2 linked regions of the Neodiprion lecontei genome follow. The protein of the gene in region 1 purifies or fractionates together with the protein of each later gene. This does not show direct contact. Links are inferred from orthologs where the notes say so. Each region holds a gene or a part of one and is shown on either strand. Other genes may lie near its edges.

The links. Proteins that work in one complex are often made in the same cells at the same time.
Region 2: the proteins of elongation factor 1-alpha (region 1) and valine--tRNA ligase purify together in Homo sapiens (affinity purification with mass spectrometry; 3 studies listed by BioGRID and IntAct, counting the BioPlex papers as one, with this or other methods). This does not show direct contact. The link is inferred for Neodiprion lecontei from reciprocal best matches to the Homo sapiens genes EEF1A1 and VARS1.

The regions. Positions count from the first base shown.
Region 1 is NC_060264.1:21,332,491-21,338,454, forward strand, and holds elongation factor 1-alpha, read right to left. Parts: upstream 4,333-5,964; 5' UTR 4,294-4,332; coding exon 4,150-4,293; intron 3,557-4,149; coding exon 2,948-3,556; intron 2,332-2,947; coding exon 2,056-2,331; intron 1,471-2,055; coding exon 1,114-1,470; 3' UTR 543-1,113; downstream 1-542. UniProt on the Homo sapiens protein: Translation elongation factor that catalyzes the GTP-dependent binding of aminoacyl-tRNA (aa-tRNA) to the A-site of ribosomes during the elongation phase of protein synthesis.
Region 2 is NC_060261.1:2,225,253-2,232,909, forward strand, and holds valine--tRNA ligase, read left to right. Parts: upstream 1-1,650; 5' UTR 1,651-1,669; intron 1,670-1,919; exon of another isoform or gene 1,920-2,218; 5' UTR 2,219-2,289; coding exon 2,290-2,454; intron 2,455-2,611; coding exon 2,612-2,785; intron 2,786-2,881; coding exon 2,882-3,009; intron 3,010-3,105; coding exon 3,106-3,270; intron 3,271-3,344; coding exon 3,345-3,546; intron 3,547-3,619; coding exon 3,620-3,908; intron 3,909-3,973; coding exon 3,974-4,098; intron 4,099-4,187; coding exon 4,188-4,333; intron 4,334-4,418; coding exon 4,419-4,626; intron 4,627-4,728; coding exon 4,729-4,905; intron 4,906-4,976; coding exon 4,977-5,098; intron 5,099-5,219; coding exon 5,220-5,328; intron 5,329-5,389; coding exon 5,390-5,668; intron 5,669-5,759; coding exon 5,760-6,095; intron 6,096-6,386; coding exon 6,387-6,542; intron 6,543-6,644; coding exon 6,645-6,848; intron 6,849-6,936; coding exon 6,937-7,212; intron 7,213-7,303; coding exon 7,304-7,522; and 2 more. UniProt on the Homo sapiens protein: Catalyzes the attachment of valine to tRNA(Val).

The DNA of each region.
Region 1 (5,964 bases):
TTAAATACTCACTTAGCAAAATTAGGCTAAAATAATAAGAATAAGTACATTTAAATATAAATAAAATTATGCATCGTGATTCTCGCGTTGAGAAAAATAAAATCATTAATTGCGACACAACGTACAAAGTTTAGTTAAAAAAAAAAAAAAAATTCAAAATAATAACATTATTTTCTCGAATATCGCACGATATAAGATTTTATTTCCGTAAATAATTAGATAGAAAATATAATTAAGCCGAGCTAAATAATTAATAAGTTTTTCGTTTCTAGTTTTGTTTGTTGTGAAAACAGGAGGAGGGGTGAAGTTTCTGTTGCTATATAGTATTATTAATAATAATAATAATAGTTATTATAGGTAGTAAATAATTACGTTATGCAAGTCGGAATAATAAAGTTGCCAATGAGACGGTTTTTTTTCATCAACTATTTCGAGAAGTTTGACAATATTTGTTTTTCTTGTCATTAAAATTCAATGATATTGTTGTTTGTAATATTTCACGTGGTGGTAGAAGATATATCGTCGTCGTCGTTGCTGCTTGATTAAATTAAAATCTTTTTTTTTTATTTTCAATTTTCACCGTACCAATGTAATCAATCATTCAATTAACCAGATGGTTTCTCGTTACAAATAAAAATAAAAACAAAGAAAAAGAAAAGAAACACAAATTTAATCAGCACTTGTAGTTTGTTCAATTAGTTACCTTGTTGTTATGTTTTTTGCTGATAGTAATTCATGTTGCTCGGTTGCCATCTTTAAAAAGTTATTATTACATTATTACAATAGGTAATATTTTTTCCTGCGAAATTCCTTGCGGTGGAAACAACAGTGCTGCTGTATCAGCCATTCGGATTTAGATAGTAAAAGAAATAATAAACAACGTTTCGTGAATAATAAGCATGGCGCGACGTCAGTCCTCCGTGTCATAATAATCATAATAATGGATATCATAATCTCAGCAACGTTAACTACCATGAGGGTAGCAGAAGCAGCAGCGGCAGTAGCCGACTTATTACTATCGCAATAATAATAATAATAATCAATTAATTGAGACACGGGACAGGGAGGCAGCGGCGGCGCCACCTCACGGTGGTCATCCGTTATAGTAGCTAGTTATTTCTTCTTCTGTGCCTTCTCGGCGGCCTTGGTGACTTTGCCTGTGGCATCCTTGAAGCTGACTGCCTTGATAACACCGACAGCGACAGTCTGACGCATGTCACGCACAGCGAAGCGCCCCAATGGCGGGAATTCTTGGAAGGCTTCGACGCACATCGGCTTGCTCGGCACCAGAGTCACGATGGCCGCGTCTCCCGACTTTATCGCCTTTGGATTCTCCTCAGTCGTTTTACCCGTACGTCGGTCGCATTTCTCCTTAATCTCGGCGAACTTGCACGCTATATGTGCCGTGTGACAGTCCAACACTGGCGTATAACCGTTGCTGATCTGACCGGGGTGGTTCAACACGATTACCTGCAATACGTAATAAGCAAGAATTAGTTATCAATGAAAATAATTTTGTTCATATAGTTTACTGCGATAAATTGCTAACTTGAAGATATTTTTCGTAAATTTACATAATCGAAACCACGAAAAATCGGAAATACAAAATTCAATTGCAGTTGTAATGATTTAAGAAAACGGCTTCTAGTTATTCCATGAATTTTGATGATAATAGTCCAACGAACTTTAATGACCACTGTATCAATCAAATATGAAAAGAATTACAACTCTGCTGAATTTCAGATAGCAAAGAGAAACTTAGTACTTATGGTGAAAAATAAAGTTTCGGTAACTTTTCAGAATGACTAATGAATATTTAATTACCTACTATACACGGTTTCAATTTAATAAAAATCAAGGACACTGTTAATATTAGAAGAGCGTAATTTTCAAGACACTCAGACGCTTCAGCCATCAACAGACCCACAAGTCTTCTGGTGGAAACCGCGAATGAAGATTAAAGCGTCTCATCATAGTGTCGAATAATTCACAAACGAAAAGTACATGAATTAACATATAACAATTTTTATCGAAATTTAATGAATCTGCGGTTACCTGAGCGGTGAAATCGGCGGCGCCCTTGGGCGGATTGTTCTTAGAGTCACCGGCAACGTATCCACGACGAAGTTCCTTGACGGAAACGTTCTTTACGTTGAAACCAACGTTGTCGCCGGGTACGGCTTCAGTCAAAGCCTCGTGGTGCATCTCGACGGATTTTACTTCAGTCGTGAGACCTGCTGGAGCAAAGGTTACGACGGTACCTGGCTTCAGAACTCCAGTTTCTACACGGCCTACGGGCACCGTTCCAATACCTCCAATCTTGTAAACGTCCTGCAAACAAATTCAACAAGCATCAGTTAACCTTCAGTAATGGAAAATGGAGCGAAATATACATTGAAATTTCACCTTCAATTCTTTTGAAAAACGAATTAAAATGACGATCAATAGAATATAATAAACATGTTGGAACATAGAAAATATGTTTGAGTTTAAATTATTCTATTTTGTAAGATTTTTTAATTGTTGGAAAATTTATCTCAATAATTTCGAATGTAAGTATGTGATCCAATTTAATGATTGATAGACTTTTTAACGACTGCATGGTCTACTAAAATTTAACGCATTGAAGGCTACGTATTACAAATGAAATGTCGCAGTTTTCATTCAAAAATATATTACGTCAATTTTTCCAGGATAAGTCAAAATATCTCAGAACTTTTCTAGGACTTCAGGGACATTTTTTGGTTTTCCAGAATAATTGTAGAATTTAAGGACACTTAAGGAGCAGTAGATGTCCTGTAAATATATAAACCCAGGAACAGTTAGGAAGACCTTCTTTTTACAAAACTTTTGACAATGGTTGAAATTTCTCTGCCAGAGTTTCTTGATCAAAATAGTTATTTTTCAATTTTGAATGGACGGAATGAAGCGAATGGACAAAATTTACCTGCAGGGGAAGACGCAGAGCCTTATCGGTAGGTCTGCTGGGTGGGAGGATGGCATCGAGTGCCTCAATGAGACACTTTCCATCAGCTTTGCCTTCCTTGCGTTCGACGGCCCATCCCTTGAACCATGGCATCTTGCTCGAGGGCTCGAGCATGTTGTCTCCGTGCCATCCTGAGATGGGAACGAAAGCGACAGCAGCTGGGGTGTAACCAATCTTCTTGATATAGGAGGAAACTTCCTTCTTAATTTCCTCGAAACGAGCCTCCGAGTATGGCGGCTCAGTGGAGTCCATTTTATTGACACCAACGATGAGCTGCTTGACGCCGAGGGTGAAGGCAAGTAGTGCGTGCTCACGGGTCTGACCGTTCTTGGAAATACCAGCTTCGAATTCTCCCGTACCAGCAGCCACAATCAACACTGCACAGTCGGCCTGAGACGTACCAGTGATCATGTTCTTAATGAAATCTCTGTGTCCCGGAGCATCGATGATAGTCACATAGTACTTGGCAGTTTCAAATTTCCAAAGGGCGATATCAATCGTGATACCACGTTCACGTTCGGCTTTCAGCTTGTCCAAGACCCATGCATATTTGAAGGAACCTTTACCCATCTGCAAATAATATGAATATTAATTTTGTGCTCTCATCAGCCATTGATTCAACTTCCAGATGGTATTAATTTGACACTCAGACGCCTTCAGCCATCAATGGACTTTCTCAAGTCCTCCGGTGGAAACCGCGAATGAAGTTGTAGGGTTATCATCACTGTGCCAATCCAGATTGTTTTTATCAGTGACATCATAAGATTATAACAATATCGAATTGCTGATCAATACATATTTCAATTGGTATTCAAACTTAGATTGCTAACGAGAATTTTTTTTGCTGGGGCAAATAGTGCAGATTTTACATAATTTATGAAATATATCGATCATCAAGCAAATTAATTATCCAAAGAAAAAAATCACAATCTTTTGTACTAATTGGGTTCAAAAGTGTTCAGAAATAGATACATGCTCATTGTTTTGATGTAGATTTAAGCTTTCATTTATGGAAAAATATGTTGAGAGATATGATTAAACAAGCTTAAAGAGCTCTCCATTTAAAAATTTAAGTTACGTGTAGCTATTGAATCAGGTATAAAGATTTTCGGTATACATATCAAGAAAAAGCAAATCCAAAAAAAACAGAGTAGAAACCTCACCTCCTGAGCTTCCTTCTCAAACTTTTCGATGGTACGTTTGTCGATACCACCGCACTTGTAGATAAGGTGACCAGTGGTGGTCGATTTACCGGAATCTACGTGTCCGATGACAACGATATTGATGTGAACCTTTTCCTTTCCCATGTTTGCGTCGTTTCGTTGCTAAAGAGTTCGTCAAAAGAGCTGAAACACAGTGCAAACAAAAGAAGCCGTTAAAAAATCCGCTCTTCAACATGAACTTATACCACGTGGCCACCCCGAAAGTTATGCGTCCAGATTTCAGAAGGAAAAAGACCGACTGCTGCTTGTGCCCTGCGGGATTTACGGGATCGCGCGGCCATTTTGGAACTGTAGATGGAGGACATTTCTTCAGAGAATCACAGAGAAAGGGAAGAAAGCATTGCAGCAAAATACCGACCCGGGAACAACGCGGCGAGTCCTGCTTCCAAACAATATAACGGCAGTTCGATGAACATAGTTGGAAACTATGAGAGGATACGTCGATACGCGATTGCGTCACGTTGCAACATATGTACATATTTGATTAGGTGTATCAGACTACGCAGTGATTCGTTACGAGAGTTCGGAAAGGAAACGGGCATTGTGGTATATTTCGAAGCTCTTCACCTGGAAGGAAGATTGAATAAATGAACGAATGATGCGAAAGTGAGAAGGTTGTACAGTGACCTAAGGGAACCCGAATTGCGGTGACAACTCACCGCCATTACGTGGAGCGATGAACGAGGCAGAGAAGCCGATGAGGGCTGGATGTCACGGAAATAGAGGTCTAGGGCTCAAGGATGAGGAAGTGGGTGCGTTTAATCGGGTTCGAATTTCCCGAAGTACCGGAATTCGCCGGGTGTCTAGTACAGGGACAGTTTGAAGTCGGCATGCGGCCGAGGGTGCTAAGCAGCAGCCGGTCGGGATCGTTACATTTTTTTCACCGAAGTAGGCGATATTTCGTTAAACTACACCGAGGGCGACGTCGCCGGGAATTTAAGGTTCAGTTCTGGCCTTGATCCGAGCCTCGATGGCTGGACTTTGTTTGTGATTTCGACGGATTACTGAACGGTAACAGAGAGCACGCACGTACGACCACTCACCTCCAGATGCCACGACAGAAAGAGATCGTTGTAGGAAAGTGACATGCGCACACGGCTTCACCGACGCAGCCTCGAACCCAGCGACGGCCGACTATCGATCCCTCGCTCCTTCCGCGATCTAAATTTTTCTAAAAATTATCACCATTTGGAGTTTTTACCTTACGAAATTTACAGTGGTCTCAAATGGCCAATTGATCGACACTTTTCGCTGCAACATTCGATTCTGGAAAATTTTGAATTGGACGTTAATCTCGGCACGGCTTTGGGTTCGAGGCTTCGATTCCTTCAAACCTTCAGGTGCGTATCCGCTACCGCTGGCCTCGGGCGCATACAATCTACACCTGCATGGCTGACGTTTGGGGCCAGTGTCTTCCGGGGCGCAATCGTCGTTCCCCGTTTTTCCTTGGCAGTCTTTCGCGATTGTTATCGAGATGACACGCATGACCCGGGCTGTTTACTCCAGATTTGAGGGCCAGATCTTGATTGATCTATCTGAACTAATAGTGCAGTTTTATACTGTTCTCGTTAGTCTGGTCTGATTTTTGTAGCATAAATTAACGACGCTATTCGACTGTTCTAACGCATTTTAACAGATTTTATCCAGCTTTTCGTGAACTACGGATTTGCATTTGTTTTGTAGAATAACAGTACTTTCTTTTACTCTTCGTTGAACCGCAATACATGCCTGCGAATTCCCGGGGCTCAAGGATCG
Region 2 (7,657 bases), on another chromosome or scaffold:
AATACACTCACTGAATAACATTTTAGACAATAAATTAAACTCGCTAAATAAACGTTCCCGCAATCTTGCCGTATACGTACGTACTGCTCCACGGCTGTTTGGATATCAACTAATTGTAAGACCATCGCCGGCAATTTCGAATGAATATGAGTTATAATGGACAGACGAACTAATTATAAATTATATATCTCATGTATGTACAAGGATTACTAATTACTATTTCATTTATGTACTACACACCAACATGTATACATCGCTAACATACTTTCTCTATCCTTTCTAAAAAAATAGGATTTCTGAAGGGACGTAATATTTTCAAAATCTCCAACGTCGTAAGCTTCAACTACAAAAATATTGTTACAAGACTTATTGAGGAACACATTAATTATTATACATTACTTACCATGTATCATACATACTGCGAGTTATTGTATTATCGAATTTTTGGCAGATACAACCTTACGGAATTAGCCGATGTAGGATTTCATAATTGAATCAGTATCAATAGAAAACTGTATCTACCAGGTGATCCTACAGCTGAGCGCGAGTGATGAAAGTCAAGATCCAGCAGGTAAAGAACCTGGAGCACAGGAACTACATAGCGCTAGTCCTGGAAGTCAAGTTTCACTAGGTAAAAGATTTGAACAGCCGAAACTACGGAGCGGTCGTCCTGGAAGTCAAATTTCACCGGATCAAGGACCTCTAGACCTGGAAGTCAAGTTTCACTAGGTACAGGATCTGTAAACCTCATAAAATAGTTATAATTTAATATTATGAACTTTTGATTTAGAAGAATAAGATTCCCGGTTGATATATCGTTGTGTTATGGATCGTGATCTTTGAGTTGAATATAAGTTTTAGGAAAGAAATAAGAATCGAAGTCCTACGACGTGATTCTTCACAAATTCAAAAAAAATAAATTGAAAAAAACATGAAAAATCAAATGAGCACGATCTTCCACATAACGTAGATCCCTCATATTTTCCCAAAATCTTTCTTTTAAACTTTCAATTCAAATACACGTACACCAGTTAAACCGAAAACTGCATTCGAGGACCTACAGTTTACTGAACAGAATACCGAATCTCGAGATATACCGCAACGATTGCACGGAACACATATGCACTTGCTAATCTTACAATTAATTTTTTGCAACACCTGCGTGGAAAGTCCATTTTTATGCACCATTTACAAGCACCGAAAGTAGTCTTTTATACACATGTGCGGGAAAAACTTTCGCGCATTACTAGGGGTGTGAGAAAAAAACCTTCGCACATTGCCGGCGGTATAAGATGAACCTTCGCACATTGCTAGCGGTGTGCGAAAAAGACCGTCGCGCTTTTATCCACAGTTGCGTATTTCGCAAACAGCTCCACTAGCCCTACCGATGGAATAGTTTGTCACTCTTTGCCGTGCTCGACATCGCTGCATCGTCACTAAACAGACATCGTGCCGTGGTTTCGTGTAAAAATAATCGTGTATGTCGGACTTTCCATTACAGGTGTAGCAAAAAATAGAGTTCGATACACGTGCGAAAGTTGGCAATGCCTATCTCGCGTGAATGCGCCACACTCGCCCTTCAACTCGTCTCCAGGCTCGTGCTGCGCCTTCATGCTTGTGCGGGCATTGCCACCTTCGCGCACTAGTATCGAAAAACACTATTATACAGGCAGGTCACATAATGTACAGTTCATACAATTGGTTGCGAATTTCAAAGGTTCTTTACATTGATTCGTCTGAATGACGGGCCGATAAGTACTGTACAAAATTAAAAAGCTTCGGTTCATAAATTTGTGCGATCTAAGTTGTCTTTGACGCTGCAAAATTATTTAAGGATTTGGAAAAAATTATATTTCAAGCTTATAAGCTATTCTCGAAATAACCTCAAACCTATGCATTATTTTCAGTGCACCTTGTTACTCTACTGATGGATATAATTATTTTCTTCTTTCTATATTCAGACGGAACTGTATAAACTCTCATTTCTAAAGAATTACATTACACAACACAGTGCGACTCGGCCTAGCTAGCGAAGAATCAAATAATTGTCCCATTTTTGAAACTCGCTTGATAATGGATTCCGTCGAAACAGCGAATCACATAACATTGCGCCTGCAGCTTTTGCAATCCTTTCTGTTCTCACATCAGCTAGACAGCGTGCAGGCCACGCGGAGTAATTGGTTAAGTTTTCAATATTGACATTTTCGGGGATTTTCAGCGAGGCAGCGAATAACACGCGATACCGTAAACTGAGAATTATTTATTTGTTTTGAATAATTTGCAATAAAAATGGTTGAAACGGCAGCAAACGGAGCCGAGGGAGAGGCTGCGAAACCAAAGACAGCGAAACAGCTTGAGAAAGAGGCTAAGAAGTTGGCTAAATTGGAGAAGTTCAAACAAAAACTAGATAAAAAAGAAACCACTGCTTCAACTAAGCCCAAAGAAAAACCTGAGGTAATTTTCGCATTCACTTTATTTAATTCTGCCTGATTGTTAACTGCAACAATGACGTTTCCATAATCCATATGGTTTCCTGTCGCATTCACATACTTGGATCGCCTTGGTTTTACATGAAAACAAAAAAATTCATTAAGGTATACACGTTTTGCAGAAGGTTGAAAAAAAGCTGGAAAGCAAGCAAGCAGTATTATATACCATAAACACTCTAGAGGGGGAAAAGAAGGATGTCAATTGTCCGATGCCTGATGCCTACAGCCCTCGTTTTGTCGAGGCAGCGTGGTATTCCTGGTGGAGAAACGAGGGTTTCTTCAAACCCGAATATGGAGTAAGTTTGGTTAAAGTCCTTCAGTGATAAATTTGTTGTGTCTGACATCGTACGCAGAGGAATTCAATTCACATTCATCGTATACCACGTTTCCAGCGTAAAAGCATCAACGAAACAAATCCCAAAGGCACATTTGTCATGGTTATTCCACCACCTAATGTCACTGGTTCCTTACATCTTGGACATGCACTGACAAATGCGATCGAGGATGTAATTACCCGATGGTAAGTCGATAGTTTCTATTATAATATATTTTTTAGTTGTTCAAATCATTTTTCCTTCCTCCTTGTAACATAGTTGATTTACCATTCGAACTTCAGGAATCGTATGAAGGGGCGAACGACACTTTGGAATCCGGGTTGTGATCATGCTGGAATAGCGACTCAAGTGGTAGTTGAAAAGAAATTATGGAGGAACGAACAAAAGACACGTCATGACATCGGGAGGGAAAAATTTGTGGAAAAAGTTTGGGAGTGGAAAAATGAGTGAGTGCAACATGACCTGGTTTTTGGTACGATGTATCTAGGTGTTAATTTTATAATTTTCTACAAATCTGCAGAAAAGGAGATCGAATCTATGAGCAACTTCGTAAACTCGGGAGCTCCTTTGATTGGGATCGCGCTTGTTTCACAATGGATCCAAAACTCTGCCGCGCTGTTACCGAAGCTTTCGTACGTCTGCATGAGTCAGGGGATATTTACAGGAGTAATCGTCTTGTGAATTGGTCTTGTACGTTGAAAAGTGCAATTTCCGATATTGAGGTAACAATTGTTCCTATTTCCTGTCTCATTACATCTCAATGGTAATAAATAAACTGATCATTGTCGTTCCAAGGTGGACAAAATGGAGCTACCTGGCAGAACTTTTCTCGCTATTCCTGGCTACAAAGAGAAAGTTGAGTTTGGTGTTCTCGTATCATTTGCATACGAAATAGAAGACTCAAATGAAAAGGTTGTGGTTGCTACAACTCGTATTGAAACAATGCTTGGAGATGTTGCGGTCGCAGTACACCCCAAGGATGCTCGTTATTCTCACCTGATTGGTAAATACGTGAAACATCCTTTCTGCGATAGAAAGATACCGATCATAACTGACGATTTTGTGGAAATGGAATTTGGAACAGGTAAATTATCATCTTTGCTACTTTGAAAGAGAACATCTTGGCTTAATTCTCGTTGCATTAATTAGGCGCTGTGAAAATAACACCTGCGCATGACCCTAATGATTATGAAGTTGGAAAGAGGCACGACTTGCCATTTATAACAATTTTTGATGACGCGGGAAATATCATCGGAAACTATGGCAAATTCACGGTACTTATCATCCTCAATTCAAATAAACTAAAATTAATTATATGATAGTTGAAGTGTTGAGAGATTAGTGCATGCTTCTATCATTTCAGGGTATGAAAAGATTCGATGCGCGAAAGGCTATTCTGCAACAATTGACGGAAAGAGGATTATATATTGAGACCAAAGACAATGCAATGGTTGTACCAATTTGTAGTCGATCCAAGGACGTCGTTGAACCACTAATGAAACCGCAGTGGTTGGTAAATCCTGTCTACATTTGATGACATTTCTTCACTCTTTAAGAGAAGCTTGATACACGAAATTATATCTTGCAATTATAGGTACGTCAAGTGTGATGAAATGGCTGCTGATGCTATCAAGGTTGTTGAAAATGGAGAGTTAAAGATTATTCCAGAGCAGCATAAAAGAACTTGGAATCATTGGTTGGAGGGTATCAGAGATTGGTGTATTTCTCGTCAGCTTTGGTGGGGTCATCGAATCCCAGCATATTTTGTATCCATTTTGGACTCAGCTGTTCCAGCTGGAACTGTAAGTCATCATTTTTAACGTAATTTCTGAAGTTATAATAAGATCGAATTTGTCTCACGTATACAATGAGAAGTCCATTTCGAATGGCACAAACTATTTCAGGAAAATGACAACAATTATTGGGTGAGCGGAAGAACAGAGGCAGAGGCGAAAGAAAAAGCTGCAAACCGGTTCAATGTCAGCATTGATAATATTAAGCTGGAACAGGATCCTGATGTCTTAGATACTTGGTTTTCTTCCGGTCTCTTTCCATTCTCTATCTTTGGCTGGCCAGAAGAAGTATGTGAATACACATAGCCATTTAGTTCAAACTTATCACATTGCCTTATCTCGTGCAAATCTGGTTTTAGTCCGAGGAATTGAAAGCTTTCTATCCTGGAACTTTGTTGGAGACAGGACATGATATACTCTTCTTTTGGGTAGCAAGAATGGTTTTCCTTGGTCGAAAGCTCCTGGGTAAATTACCATTTAAGTAAGTCCTGCGTATAATTTGTGAAAATTTCGCTTCTCAATTTTTACCTTTTTATGAACTTAACTAGTAAAAATTTGACTCGTAACACCACAGAAATACTATTTTTCTTTACTTATAACAGGGAAGTCTTCTTACATGCTATGGTGAGAGACGCACATGGAAGAAAAATGAGTAAATCTTTGGGAAATGTCATTGACCCGATGGACGTGATACACGGAATATCTCTAGAGGTGAGTATGAAAAATTTCCTGGCACCGTTTCAATGTTTATTAAACTGAGATATTATTTCAGGATCTCCACAAACAATTGTTGGATTCGAATTTGGATCCGAAAGAACTTAAAAAAGCCACAGAAGGACAGAAGCAGGATTATCCTCAGGGAATTCCGGAATGCGGAACAGACGCATTGAGATTTGCGCTGTGCGCTTACACAACTCAAGGACGTGACATCAATCTCGATATTTTGCGAGTTCAGGGTTACAGATTTTTCTGCAATAAGCTTTGGAATGCGACAAAGTTCGCCCTGATGTACTTAGGAGATGGATTCGAATTCGACGCTGAAAGTGATGAGGTGAGGAAAGAGAATGAAACGTTTTTAAACGCAATTAAACATCAATGCGGAAAATTTGTATTTGAAAATTTTATTGCAAATGTCACGTTAGAAACGCTGCGCGATTTCGAGCGCGGAGGATGTCGTTGGCGATTATAAATGGTACCAGCACACACTAAACGAAAATTGTGTTCAAGACGCGCTAAATAACTTCTTGGCAGATTATTCGTACATAAATGGATACACGCCTTCCCAGGCTGATGTTAAGGTTCATGAAACGTTGAAGTGCCTGCGTATTGATTTTTCGCATAGACCACATCTTTTACGATGGTTTAACCACATCAAAAGCTATAGTACACATGAAAGATCCAGTTTTCACCCAGAAGACGGAGAAGTTTATCAACAGACTAAAAGTAACGTTAGCAGTAGTCGTAAAAAGGGATATCAGGTACGCTGTGACAATAGCGTTTACTCAATTATTGTTTGTAGTATGTTTAGTATTCAAAATATTTCCAGCTTGGGATGCAGTTTGAGTTTCGTTCTAAAAATTATTGTAACATTTATTTTTTGTAATATTCTAGATTATTTTCTACTGAAAATAAGTACAATTTTGTCATTTTTCTCAGCAGTGTACATTACCATTTCAGCATGTTGGGTTTTCGTTCTTATAAATTGTGTTTTGTTATTGTTGAAATTAAAAAATAAACAGGTGTATAAACTTGTAGTGAAAATCTTACAGCTCTCTGGAAATGAAACAGAAGTAGACTTGTGGATGCTTTCAAGGTTGAGTTATGCGGCGAAAGTTTGTGACGAGGGAATAGCTCAGTATGATCTTACAGCTGCAACTACAGCCTGTTACAATCTCTGGCTGTACGATTTGTGCGACGTTTATCTGGTCAGAATTGAATAACATATGTCAACCAATTTCTTATTTTTTTCAATCACTTGCTCTAAACAGTGGAACAGTATATAACCGTCACTTACTTTCATTTTTCAGGAATATCTGAAGCCTGTTTTCCAAGGTGGAAATAAAGAGACTAAGTCAACAGCTCAAAAAGTGTTGTTCAAAAGCTTGGACATAGGATTGCGTTTACTCAGTCCATTCATGCCCTTCATAACGGAGGAACTTTACCAACGTTTACCACGTAAAAAATTAATTTATCCAAGTATTTGCGTGGCTCCGTATCCAGAAGAACGTGAGGTGAATGACGATATTTTTTTTTTGAGAATTTTTGTTCAATGCAGCGACGGTGATTCAATATTGAAAGTATATTTTTCTGTTCCATTAGTGTCCTTGGAGGGATCAAGGCATAGAAGCGGATGTTGACGTTGCTCAGAAAATTATTAAATCCATAAGATCCGCACGAGCTACATATAATTTACCGAACAAGACTAAAACTGACGCATTTGTCACATCTACGGAAGACAGTATCAAAGAAAAAGTCAAAACGTACTCTTTGTTGATTGGGACACTTGCTTACTCAATAATTTATCTCGACAATGCTCCAGCCGGATGCGTTATCATCCCCGTGACAGACAAGATCCAAGTTCACTTATTACTTAAGGTGAAAAAAATAATATGAAAATCACTGTACCCATATCGTAAGTTAATCATATGTTGAAAACTATAACATTCATTGTAATTTGTGATTTTAGGGATTGGTTGATCCGAAAAAGGAATTTGAAAAACTTGGTAAAAAGAAAGGAATACTTACAGAGAGTATAAATAAGCTGGAACAGGCTATGTCGGCAGTTGATTATTCCACTAAAGTTCCTGCGGATGTCCAATTAGCAAACACGGAAAAGTTAACCAGTAGCAAAGGCGAATTGGAACGGCTGGTAGAAGCAATGGACGCTTTACAGCTGATGCAATAGCAGTTTTCAATTTCTTAGATTCGAATTTGTATGTAATTCTATGATTTTTCTTTATTAAATGAAGTAAAAACAAATCGCTGAAAACATTGAAATCGTTATTTTTATTTCATCCTCGATTTCGGGCTGCGATAAAAC